2 linked regions of the Xenopus tropicalis genome follow. The protein of the gene in region 1 purifies or fractionates together with the protein of each later gene. This does not show direct contact. Links are inferred from orthologs where the notes say so. Each region holds a gene or a part of one and is shown on either strand. Other genes may lie near its edges.

Evidence for each region. The genes of interacting proteins can lie anywhere in the genome.
Region 2: the proteins of ubqln4 (region 1) and gja1 purify together in Homo sapiens (affinity purification with western blotting; 3 studies listed by BioGRID). This does not show direct contact. The link is inferred for Xenopus tropicalis from reciprocal best matches to the Homo sapiens genes UBQLN4 and GJA1.

The regions. Positions count from the first base shown.
Region 1 is NC_030684.2:133,264,876-133,271,042, forward strand, and holds the start of ubqln4 (ubiquilin-4), read right to left. Parts: upstream 3,812-6,167; 5' UTR 3,787-3,811; coding exon 3,649-3,786; intron 1-3,648. UniProt on the Homo sapiens protein: Regulator of protein degradation that mediates the proteasomal targeting of misfolded, mislocalized or accumulated proteins.
Region 2 is NC_030681.2:72,393,762-72,398,730, reverse strand, and holds gja1 (gap junction alpha-1 protein), read left to right. Parts: upstream 1-2,497; coding exon 2,498-3,637; downstream 3,638-4,969. UniProt on the Homo sapiens protein: Gap junction protein that acts as a regulator of bladder capacity. A gap junction consists of a cluster of closely packed pairs of transmembrane channels, the connexons, through which materials of low MW diffuse from one cell to a neighboring cell.

The sequences.
Region 1 (6,167 bases):
TCCTTCCCTCTCCTCTGGGTATAGTTACACTGATGGGCGGAAGCTGCCATACTGATCCCCTTACACATCCCAGTGCAATCTCTGGCAGGGAACCACCTATCAGTCTCCCTGCACTGCTTCCCACTCACACTCAGTCTATCACTCACACTCATGCTGGCCCAAGCTGAGCTTCATTTCTCTCCAGAAGATCTTATCTCTACATAACATTGACTTCATTCATCCCCTTGCACTTTCAAGCTAAGCCCCATGTTTGTTCTCACAATGAGCTCCATCTTCTTCTCTCAGCCTAAGCTCCACCTCTTCAAGAGATGAGCTCCATCGCTACCATTTACCCTCAGCCTGAGCTCAGGTTGTGTTGCTGAGGCTAAATCCCTCTCAAGCAGGGGGAGACCCACCATCACAAGCCCTTAGCGTGGGTCCCCCTGTATCTCCCAAACACAGAGTAGCCAGTGTATCCATCTCCTCTCATGTTGGATACCATGTTCCATTCCTTCCAGCTGTGCTCCACCTCCCCATACACCTTCCTGCAGAGCTTAATTACCAGCATCTCTGCCACTAAGCTCCATCTCTATATCTGTAGATACTCTCCATGGAACCCACTATCAGGATGAGCCCGTTAGGCTTCATCACAGTTACAGGCTGATCGGTCACTACCATTGGTTGCTTTATTCACCCACTTCAACTTCCACTCTCTCAAGCTCCGCCCCACTCCTGTCCATGCAGCTGGTTCCCTTTCTGGCAATATTTTACCTAAATGTGTCAGTACTTCCTGTGAGAGTCATTTCCCTCAGCCAAGCTAAGATGTCACTCTCCAGCCAGCATTGCCACATCCCTCTCACTCTCAGCTCCATTACTTTAGTTGGAGGGAGAACTCCTCTAAAATTCATCATCCTCTATCAGACTGGCCCCTCTCTTTCTCTATCAGCCTAAGTTCCCCTCTGTCTCGCACTCATCTTCCTTTTTCCCATTAAACTCGGCTCCTGTCTCTAACACCCCCCACCCAACCCCTTGGGTGTTGCTCTCAGTGCCCCCAAACCAGGGAGTTATTTTGAATTCCTGACTTGGGGGCAAGTTTTGGTTGAATAAAAACAAGATTTCCTACCAAATAAAGCCCCCTGTAAGCTGATAGGGTGCATAGAGGCCCCTAATAGCCAATCACAGCCCTTATTTGGCTCCTCCATGAACTTTTATGGTGCTTGTGTTGCTCCCCAAGTCTTTTTACATTTGACTGTGGCTCATGGGTAAGAAAGGTTGGGGATCCCTGCACTAACCCATCCCTTTCTCTACCAGACAGGGTCGCCTCTCTTTCAGACTGATCACCCCTTTCACTTTCAGCTTGGCCTGCTTGTCCACCCATCCCTTCCTCTTCCAGGCTGGGCTTCTCTATCACTCAGCCATATCTGTCTCTCCATCATTCTGGGCTCCTCACTCTACCAGACTGATCATCCCTTTCTCCATCAGGCCCCGGCCCATTTATTCCAATCTGATCTCTTTCACTTTCAGGTTGGGCTCCTCTGACTCATCTGCACATTCTCTATCAGACTGTTCTTCTCTCTATCAGACTGTTCTTCTCTCTATCAGACTGTTCTTCTCTCTATCAGACTGTTCTTCTCTCTATCAGACTGTTCTTCTCTCTATCAGACTGAGCTCCTTTCACTTCACTGTTCTTTCTGCCTGTTCTTGTCTCTCTATCAGACTGTTCCCCCTTCCTCTTCCAGGCTGGGCTTTTCCATCACTCAGCCGTATCTTTCTCTCCATCAATCTGGGCTCCTCACTCTATCAGACTGATCTTCCTTTTCTCTATCAGACCGATCTTCACCCTCTATCAGACCGATCTCCTCACTCTATCAGACCGCTCTTCTCACTCTATCAGACTGTTCTTCTCTCTATCAGTCTGAGCTCCTTTCACTTCACTGTTCTTTCTCTCTGACTGTTCCCTTCTCTCTCTATCAGACTGGACTGCTCTCTCTATCAGACTGTTCCCCTCTCTCTATCAGACTGTTCCCCTCTCTCTCTCAGACTGTTCCCCTCTCTCTCTCAGACTGTTCCCCTCTCTCTCTCAGACTGTTCCCCTCTCTCTCTCAGACTGTTCCCCTCTCTCTCTCAGACTGTTCCCCTCTCTCTATCAGACTGTTCCTCTCTCTCTCTCAGACTGTTCCTCTCTCTCTCTCAGACTGTCCCCCTCTCTCTCAGACTGTTCCTCTCTCTCTCTCAGACTGTTCCTCTCTCTCTCTCAGACTGTCCCCCTCTCTCTCAGACTGTTCCTCTCTCTCTATCAGACTGTCCCCCTCTCTCTATCAGACTGTTCCCCTCTCTCTATCAGACTGTTCCCCTCTCTCTATCAGACTGTTCCCCTCTCTCTATCAGACTGTTCCATTCTCTCTATCAGACTGTTCCCCTCTCTCTATCAGACTGTTCCATTCTCTCTATCAGACTGTCCCCCTCTCTCTCTATCAGACTGTTCCATTCTATCAGACTGTTCCCCTCTCTCTATCAGACTGTTCCCCTCTCTCTATCAGACTGTTCCCCTCTCTCTATCAGACTGTTCCCCTCTCTCTATCAGACTGTCCCCCTCTCTCTCTATCAGACTGTTCCCCTCTCTCTATCAGACTGTTCCATTCTCTCTATCAGACTGTCCCCCTCTCTCTATCAGACTGTTCCCCTCTCTCTATCAGACTGTTCCCCTCTCTCTATCAGACTGTTCCCCTCTCTCTATCAGACTGTTCCCCTCTCTCTCTATCAGACTGTTCCCCTCTCTCTATCAGACTGTTCCATTCTCTCTATCAGACTGTCCCCCTCTCTCTCTATCAGACTGTTCCATTCTATCAGACTGTTCCCCTCTCTCTATCAGACTGTTCCCCTCTCTCTATCAGACTGTTCCCCTCTCTCTATCAGACTGTCCCCCTCTCTCTCTATCAGACTGTTCCCCTCTCTCTATCAGACTGTTCCATTCTCTCTATCAGACTGTCCCCCTCTCTCTATCAGACTGTCCCCCTCTCTCTCTATCAGACTGTTCCCCTCTCTCTATCAGACTGTCCCCCTCTCTCTCTCAGACTGTCCCCCTCTCTCTCTCAGACTGTCCCCCTCTCTCTCTCAGACTGTCCCCCTCTCTCTCTCAGACTGTCCCCCTCTCTCTCTCAGACTGTCCCCCTCTCTCTCTCAGACTGTCCCCCTCTCTCTCTCAGACTGTCCCCCTCTCTCTCTCAGACTGTCCCCCTCTCTCTCTATCAGACTGTTCCCCTCTCTCTCTATCAGACTGTTCCCCTCTCTCTCTATCAGACTGTTCCCCTCTCTCTCTATCAGACTGTCCCCCTCTCTCTATCAGACTGTCCCCCTCTCTCTCTATCAGACTGTCCCCCTCTCTCTATCAGACTGTCCCCCTCTCTCTATCAGACTGTCCCCCTCTCTCTCTATCAGACTGTCCCCCTCTCTCTATCAGACTGTCCCCCTCTCTCTATCAGACTGTCCCCCTCTCTCTCTATCAGACTGTCCCCCTCTCTCTATCAGACTGTCCCCCTCTCTCTATCAGACTGTCCCCCTCTCTCTATCAGACTGTCCCCCTCTCTCTCTATCAGAGGGACCATTGCTCTCAGGCTGGGGCTGGCCCCTCTCTCCCCAGGCAGGATGGCGGGGTTAGCCGCCCCTCACCTCCAGCACGCACGCCGTTTCCCCAATAACAATCTCTTCCTTGTCCTTGGGCGTTTTGACGGTGACACGAATAAGTCCTTTTCCCGGAGCCGGCCCGGTAGTACCGGAGGCCGCACCATCAGCGCCGCTCTCCGCCATCTTCTCTGCACCCGCCCACCCCGAGGAGGAGCAATAGGAAGGAGGAAAGCCGCGAAGAGAGGATTATAGGCTTCCTATGACTGGCAAAGCGCCGACCGTTCTACTTACCTCTTCGCCGCATGGTGACACCTACCGGCACGGAGGACGAATCACAGGCACTGAGGTTCCAGCTGTGCTGCGTCATGTTCTAAATCAGGTGACACGCTCACCCAATGAAACGAGAGTATGAGGGCGAGGCTTGAAAATACGGAACAATAACACGCCACACGACCAATTACAAACTATTTGAATTTATTGGATTTGCGTTTCACGGCCTAGCGTTACCTTGGCAACAGCTAATCCAGTGTCTTGTTCGGGACATTTATATAAAGGAACCCTGCAGTTATTTGGACATCCATTTGGGTGGAAAGGATTCTGTGAAGCTTTTATATGGATATTGTACGAGATACGGCATTCTGAGCTCGCCGGACTACATTACCCATCATACCTAGCGCCTACTTCCTGGGGAGGCGGGCTGTGGGATTGCTCATGTGACCGCGGCCCTGTGACAGGTTAGGCTGCAGCACTGAGCGGAATATGTTGCGGCCCAAAGCGCTCACCCAGGTTCTGAGCCAGGCCAACACCGGGGGAGTCCAGAGCACCCTGTAAGTACCGGAGCCCCCCGAGTAGCAGGTCTTTTGTCTGCCTCGTCCGCTCTTGGCTGCCACAGTGCCAGTGCCTACAGAGCCTACAACTCCCGGCATCCTTTCCCTACATCCTGCTCCCTCATTTCAGTGCATTTATCCTGGCCTATTGCTCCCCTCCCTGCAATTTGTCCCAAAACTGCTGCCATACTCCAGTGCATTCTTACATCCCTGCCCCATGGCGTTACCTTCCGCTTATTTGTCCTATACTTTCCCCAATGCCTGCCAGCCTCCCTTCCCTTCCCCAATGCCTGCCAGCCTCCCTTCCCTTCCCCAATGCCTGCCAGCCTCCCTTCCCTGCCCCTCTGCCTGCCAGCCTCCCTTCCCTTCCCCAATGCCTGCCAGCCTCCCTTCCCTTCCCCAATGCCTGCCAGCCTCCCTTCCCTTCCCCAATGCCTGCCAGCCTCCCTTCCCTTCCCCAATGCCTGCCAGCCTCCCTTCCCTGCCCCTCTGCCTGCCAGCCTCCCTTCCCTGCCCCTCTGCCTGCCAGCCTCCCTTCCCCGCTGCCTGCCTGCCAGCCTCCCTTCCCCGCTGCCTGCCTGCCAGCCTCCCTTCCCCGCTGCCTGCCTGCCAGCCTCCCTTCCCTGCCCCTCTGCCTGCCAGCCTCCCTTCCCTTCCCCAATGCCTGCCAGCCTCCCTTCCCTTCCCCAATGCCTGCCAGCCTCCCTTCCCTGCCCCTCTGCCTGCCAGCCTCCCTTCCCTGCCCCTCTGCCTGCCAGCCTCCCTTCCCCGCTGCCTGCCTGCCAGCCTCCCTTCCCCGCTGCCTGCCTGCCAGCCTCCCTTCCCCGCTGCCTGCCTGCCAGCCTCCCTTCCCTGCCCCTCTGCCTGCCAGCCTCCCTTCCCTTCCCCAATGCCTGCCAGCCTCCCTTCCCTTCCCCAATGCCTGCCAGCCTCCCTTCCCTTCCCCAATGCCTGCCAGCCTCCCTTCCCTGCCCCTCTGCCTGCCAGCCTCCCTTCCCTGCCCCTCTGCCTGCCAGCCTCCCTTCCCCGCTGCCTGCCTGCCAGCCTCCCTTCCCCGCTGCCTGCCTGCCAGCCTCCCTTCCCCGCTGCCTGCCTGCCAGCCTCCCTTCCCCGCTGCCTGCCTGCCAGCCTCCCTTCCCCGCTGCCTGCCTGCCAGCCTCCCTTCCCCGCTGCCTGCCTGCCAGCCTCCCTTCCCCGCTGCCTGCCTGCCAGCCTCCCTTCCCCGCTGCCTGCCTGCCAGCCTCCCTTCCCTTCCCCAATGCCTGCCAGCCTCCCTTCCCTTCCCTTCCCCAATGCCTGCCAGCCTCCCTTCCCTTCCCTTCCCCAATGCCTGCCAGCCTCCCTTCCCTTCCCCAATGCCTGCCAGCCTCCCTTCCCTTCCCCAATGCCTGCCAGCCTCCCTTCCCTTCCCTTCCCCAATGCCTGCCAGCCTCCCTTCCCTTCCCTTCCCCAATGCCTGCCAGCCTCCCTTCCCTTCCCCAATGCCTGCCAGCCTCCCTTCCCTTCCCCAATGCCTGCCAGCCTCCCTTCCCTTCCCCAATGCCTGCCAGCCTCCCTTCCCTTCCCCAATGCCTGCCAGCCTCCCTTCCCTTCCCCAATGCCTGCCAGCCTCCCTTCCCTTCCCCAATGCCTGCCAGCCTCCCTACCCCCGCTGGCTGCTGCCTTCTGGGCCATTTAGCCATTCTTCCCACTGCCTTCTATATTGCTACACTACCCTCTGCACCCCCCCATCCTTGC
Region 2 (4,969 bases), on another chromosome or scaffold:
GCCATTTTAAGAATTAAGGGATGACCCCTGGGATCATAGGATTCACAGTGCACACAAACAAGCCAAGGCACACATACATGCTAGGTCACATCATCCAATTAATGGACAGAGTTCTGCCTTCTGCTTAAACACTTCTTCCTGTTCCTGTTACAGTTAGAGCTGCATTATTTCCTGTCATGTGATCCCTGAGAAAGCACACAGCCCATTACTTAACATAATATAAACTATCTGTTGGTTAAGTATTCATTCTGGGGTATAGTTTTCCTCTAACTCTTGCAAGTGCACAAATGAGCAAGCACGTTCTTAGCAATTCCTTTAACTGATGTTAATAATGTATTAAAACACTTTTTGGATAATTTGAAAAACTTTCCAAAGAAGAGATTTGCATAATATAATAACAATATTGTTGTTACATAAAAGTCAATCATAAATTAAACTAATAAGTTTATGATTGCACTACATAAGAGTAGCAGGCCTAGGGCAGTGTCGGACTGGGGTGCCAAGGGCCCACCAGAAAACCTTAGACCTTAGGCCCACTCTCCCCTTCTCTGTATATTCACTTTCTTTAATCTCTTAATTACTTCTTTTTACATACTATTATCTATCCTTTCCCCCATTTCTTTAGTTTCTTCTCATATAGAATTGAGTAATGGCCATGGTATAGGGATACAAGGCAAATGGTAGGGTGAGCAGGAGGGCCCACTGACACCTGGGCCCACCGGGAGTTTTCCTGGTATCCTGGGGGGCCAGTCCGACACTGGCCTAGGGTAAACACTTGGTTATACACTGAAGGTTGTACACTTAAATAACGTATACAACCTTCAGAAACTCTTCCATTGATTCCCAAAGCTTTCCAACACTGGTATCCAAACTGAATGGCAGAAGCCAAAGTATTATGCAATAAATAAGAGCCCTGCTTAATAGCACTACCTAATTAACATTGTTGTTTTCTAAAACAGGGAGTTTATTGTGAGATTTTACTTTGCCTATATTATACTATACTATCAAATGTCAGTAGGTTGAAGGTTAGAAAAGAGGGTGCAGCATTGCATATAGTAGGGCACTGCCTCCAGAGAAGGCAACATTTTTAACAGCATTGCTTATGTTGCTGAACTGCATGCTTTAACCTTTAATAATTTGTTAAAGTATACTGGGGTTATAGTCTACCAAAATTTAAGTTAAGTTTGGGTGAGCAACACTGTTTGCATCTCATTTTAAAGGTGAACAAAACATTGTTGCTCAACTATACTTTAGTCAGTGGTTGCTGAACTGAACCCAGCATACTTTACCATATTGTTAAGGGTTAAAGCATGCTGGGAGATGTAGCTGAGCAAAATTAGGGTTGTGACCTGTGTATTATAAGCTTCCTTGTTTCTATTTGAAATTGAAAAGCTTAAACACAGTTTTCAGTAAATAAATATATCTTCCGACATTACGTTTGCATACAGTGTAACATAGGAAAGCCAAAATGTAAGATAACAACAAGATGGTTGATCTTTAAGATTTTGGCCTTAAGGCTTTATATCATCGTTAAGTGCCAGAACCACACAAAATAAAGTCTTGTAAAATATAAATGATCTTCTTTCTTTGCAGTACCTCAACACCTTTCTTTTTATGCTTTTACTTCCTTCTTTGTATGTCCATTTTTATACCATGTTCATCTCTGCCACTCCTCTTTGCAACTCTTCTTTTTCAATTTATTTTTTCTTTTCATAACTTTTAATGCTATGTATATATTTCTCTCTTACATTCTTTCATTACTCGAACAAAAAAATAAATAACAATCTCTATATTTTGCATTTTTCATGCATTCTTCATATCTATGAGTTCCTTCTGTGGTAAAAGTATTATGATATAAAAAATAGGAATTATAACTTTATGGTACTCTGTACAAGTATATTAGAGGAGATTATAGGCAGATAGGGAATGTTCTTTTTTTCCCACAAAAACAACCAGCACACCAGAGGCCACCCCTTTAGAGGAACGGAGCTTCCATTTAAAGCAGGGTAGGTGGTTTGTTCAAGTGAGGTAGTGGAATGCCCTTCCTAGTGATGTTGTAATGGCAGATTCTGTTAATGCCTTTAAGAGGGGCCTGGATGAGTTCTTGAATAAGCATAGTATCCAAGGCTATTGTGATACTAAATTGGTGTTGGTATATATGGTTTATGTATGTGAGTATATAGATAGGTAAGTATAGGTTTATGTGTGCTGGGGTTTACTTGGAAGGGTTGAACTTGATAAACTCTTGATGGTGTTTTTTCAACCCAATGTAACTATATATATGGTCATTTTTCACAAAACACCATAACTTTTACTCAATTACTTGCTTAGAGTGTAATGAACATTGCCTAAATATTGCCTAAAAATATTAAGAACATTCAATCATTCAGTAGCTTGCAATGTAAGAAGTTGTTCCACAGTTACTCTCTAATGATATTACTTTTATTTATAATACTGATGTGTACTTTTTTGGGATTTTAGGTAACCACTTTTGAGCATGGGTGACTGGAGTGCCTTAGGAAGACTTCTTGACAAAGTTCAAGCCTATTCGACTGCAGGAGGGAAGGTGTGGCTGTCTGTCCTATTTATATTTCGAATCCTTTTATTAGGGACAGCAGTGGAGTCAGCCTGGGGAGATGAACAATCAGCATTTGTCTGCAATACTCAACAACCAGGTTGTGAAAATGTTTGCTATGATAAGTCATTCCCGATCTCTCATGTGCGTTTCTGGGTACTTCAAATCATATTTGTCTCAACGCCTACCCTCCTTTATTTAGCCCATGTGTTTTACTTGATGAGAAAAGAAGAGAAGCTAAACAGGAAAGAAGAAGAACTTAAAATGGTTCAGAATGAAGGTGGTAATGTAGACATGCACCTTAAACAAATTGAAATAAAGAAATTCAAATATGGCCTTGAAGAGCATGGAAAAGTTAAGATGCGAGGTGGACTTCTTCGCACTTACATCATCAGCATTTTGTTTAAATCAGTCTTTGAAGTTGGCTTTATTTTCATTCAATGGTACATGTATGGGTTTAGCTTAAGTGCCATCTACACATGCAAAAGAGATCCTTGCCCACATCAAGTGGACTGTTTCCTTTCTCGACCCACAGAGAAGACCATTTTTATCTGGTTCATGTTAATAGTTTCTATAGTTTCTCTTGCCCTAAATATCATCGAGCTGTTCTATGTCACCTACAAAAGTATCAAAGATGGCATCAAGGGGAAAAAAGACCCATATTCTGCCACAAATGATTCTGTGGTTCCAGGAAAGGAATGTGGCTCCCCTAAATATGCTTATTTTAATGGCTGTTCTTCTCCAACTGCTCCCATGTCTCCACCTGGTTACAAACTTGTTACTGGAGAAAGAAATCCTTCTTCTTGTCGCAATTATAACAAGCAAGCAAGTGAACAAAACTGGGCCAATTACAGTGCAGAACAAAACAGGATGGGGCAGGCTGGAAGCACAATTTCTAACACTCATGCACAGCCTTTTGATTTTTCGGATGAACATCAGAATACTAAGAAAATGGCACCAGGACATGAGATGCAGCCCCTGACTATATTGGACCAAAGACCATCTAGTAGAGCAAGCAGTCATGCAAGTAGCAGACCTCGACCTGATGATTTAGAGATCTAATCAATCTTGATGTATTACCAGAAGGCACATTTTAAGAGTGGAGGTGGTACTAAATTCTCTCAAATGAGATTTAACAAACTTTTTTGATGAACTTTTATATGGCGAGGGAAAATCGCTTTGATATTTAAGTAGCTCATACAAATTTTACAGTCTTAAATGACTCATACAATATTTTTTTAGAATGTATGTCTAAGACAACATATGTGTTTTCAATTCACCCAAAAAGTGAAATATTTGATGTGAGCAATGTTGTTTTACGACTAGTGTCAGCCTTCTATGAGATGAGAGATTTCTTACAATGATTTTATAAATAACTTAAACAATAGCTTGACTGTTAGGAACTTTTTAGAATGAATTCTGGAGAAAGACACCTGGATGTTTTCTCAAGATGACTAGCATTTTTCCTTGCCCCTTCTCTTTTTCTGGTTAAGAAAATTATGCTTATGTAATTGAATTGCTTGATCATATGCCTTCTTAAAAGCAGCACTATTATTCCGCAACAAGCCTAGTCAATCCTTTCTGAATGGCCCAGACATTCAATAGGGGATGTCAAATCCCAGATACTACAGTGATTAACTAAGATGACAATTAATTATAAAAATGAAAAACTACTTAATTCCATAAGGATCATGTTTTAAAAGAACCAAATGTAACTATAGGGTCATCTTTCCCACCAGATCCTTATAACATTCCAACAACAGCATTATTTGTGTGGGACTATTAGAAATTATTGCGAAATCTCCTATATTATATTAATATTTTCCCTATGTCTATTTGTGGAATAATATCATAGTAAAGGCTCCTTAAATGTGAAACCCATTTTAATTCTGAAGTAGGACCTTAGTGGTAAACTATTCGGCAACCCAACTGGTAGAAGCACCTTTTGAACTGCTTACATTTTTTTTGCTGGTGCAATATTGAATAATATTTTATGATGCTGTATGTATATGTGTGTGTTAAGGGTTGGGGTTGCTTGAAGTTTGGTTCTCAAGCATGGCAGTCAATATGGGTCTGACAAATTAATCATCATTTTGAGCTGAAGTATGCAGTGAATCAGAAGAAGATGTTAGTCAAAGGCATATGTCTCATGAAATGCCTTTATAGTATAGCCATGTTCTAGTGGTGTCCTCAATCATGAAGCATGATAAAGCCTACAAACCACGTTTCTGTGGCTAATTTCTGGTAAGATACATTTGTAACGTGTAGTTCAAGGAACTGAGGTAAATATTTCTGGAATAACATGCAGGGAATTAACATGTCATTTTGCCAGCCAGTTCCCTATTATATATATATTTTTTTTATCGTTGTAACAATTTAAGAGCCCAGAATATA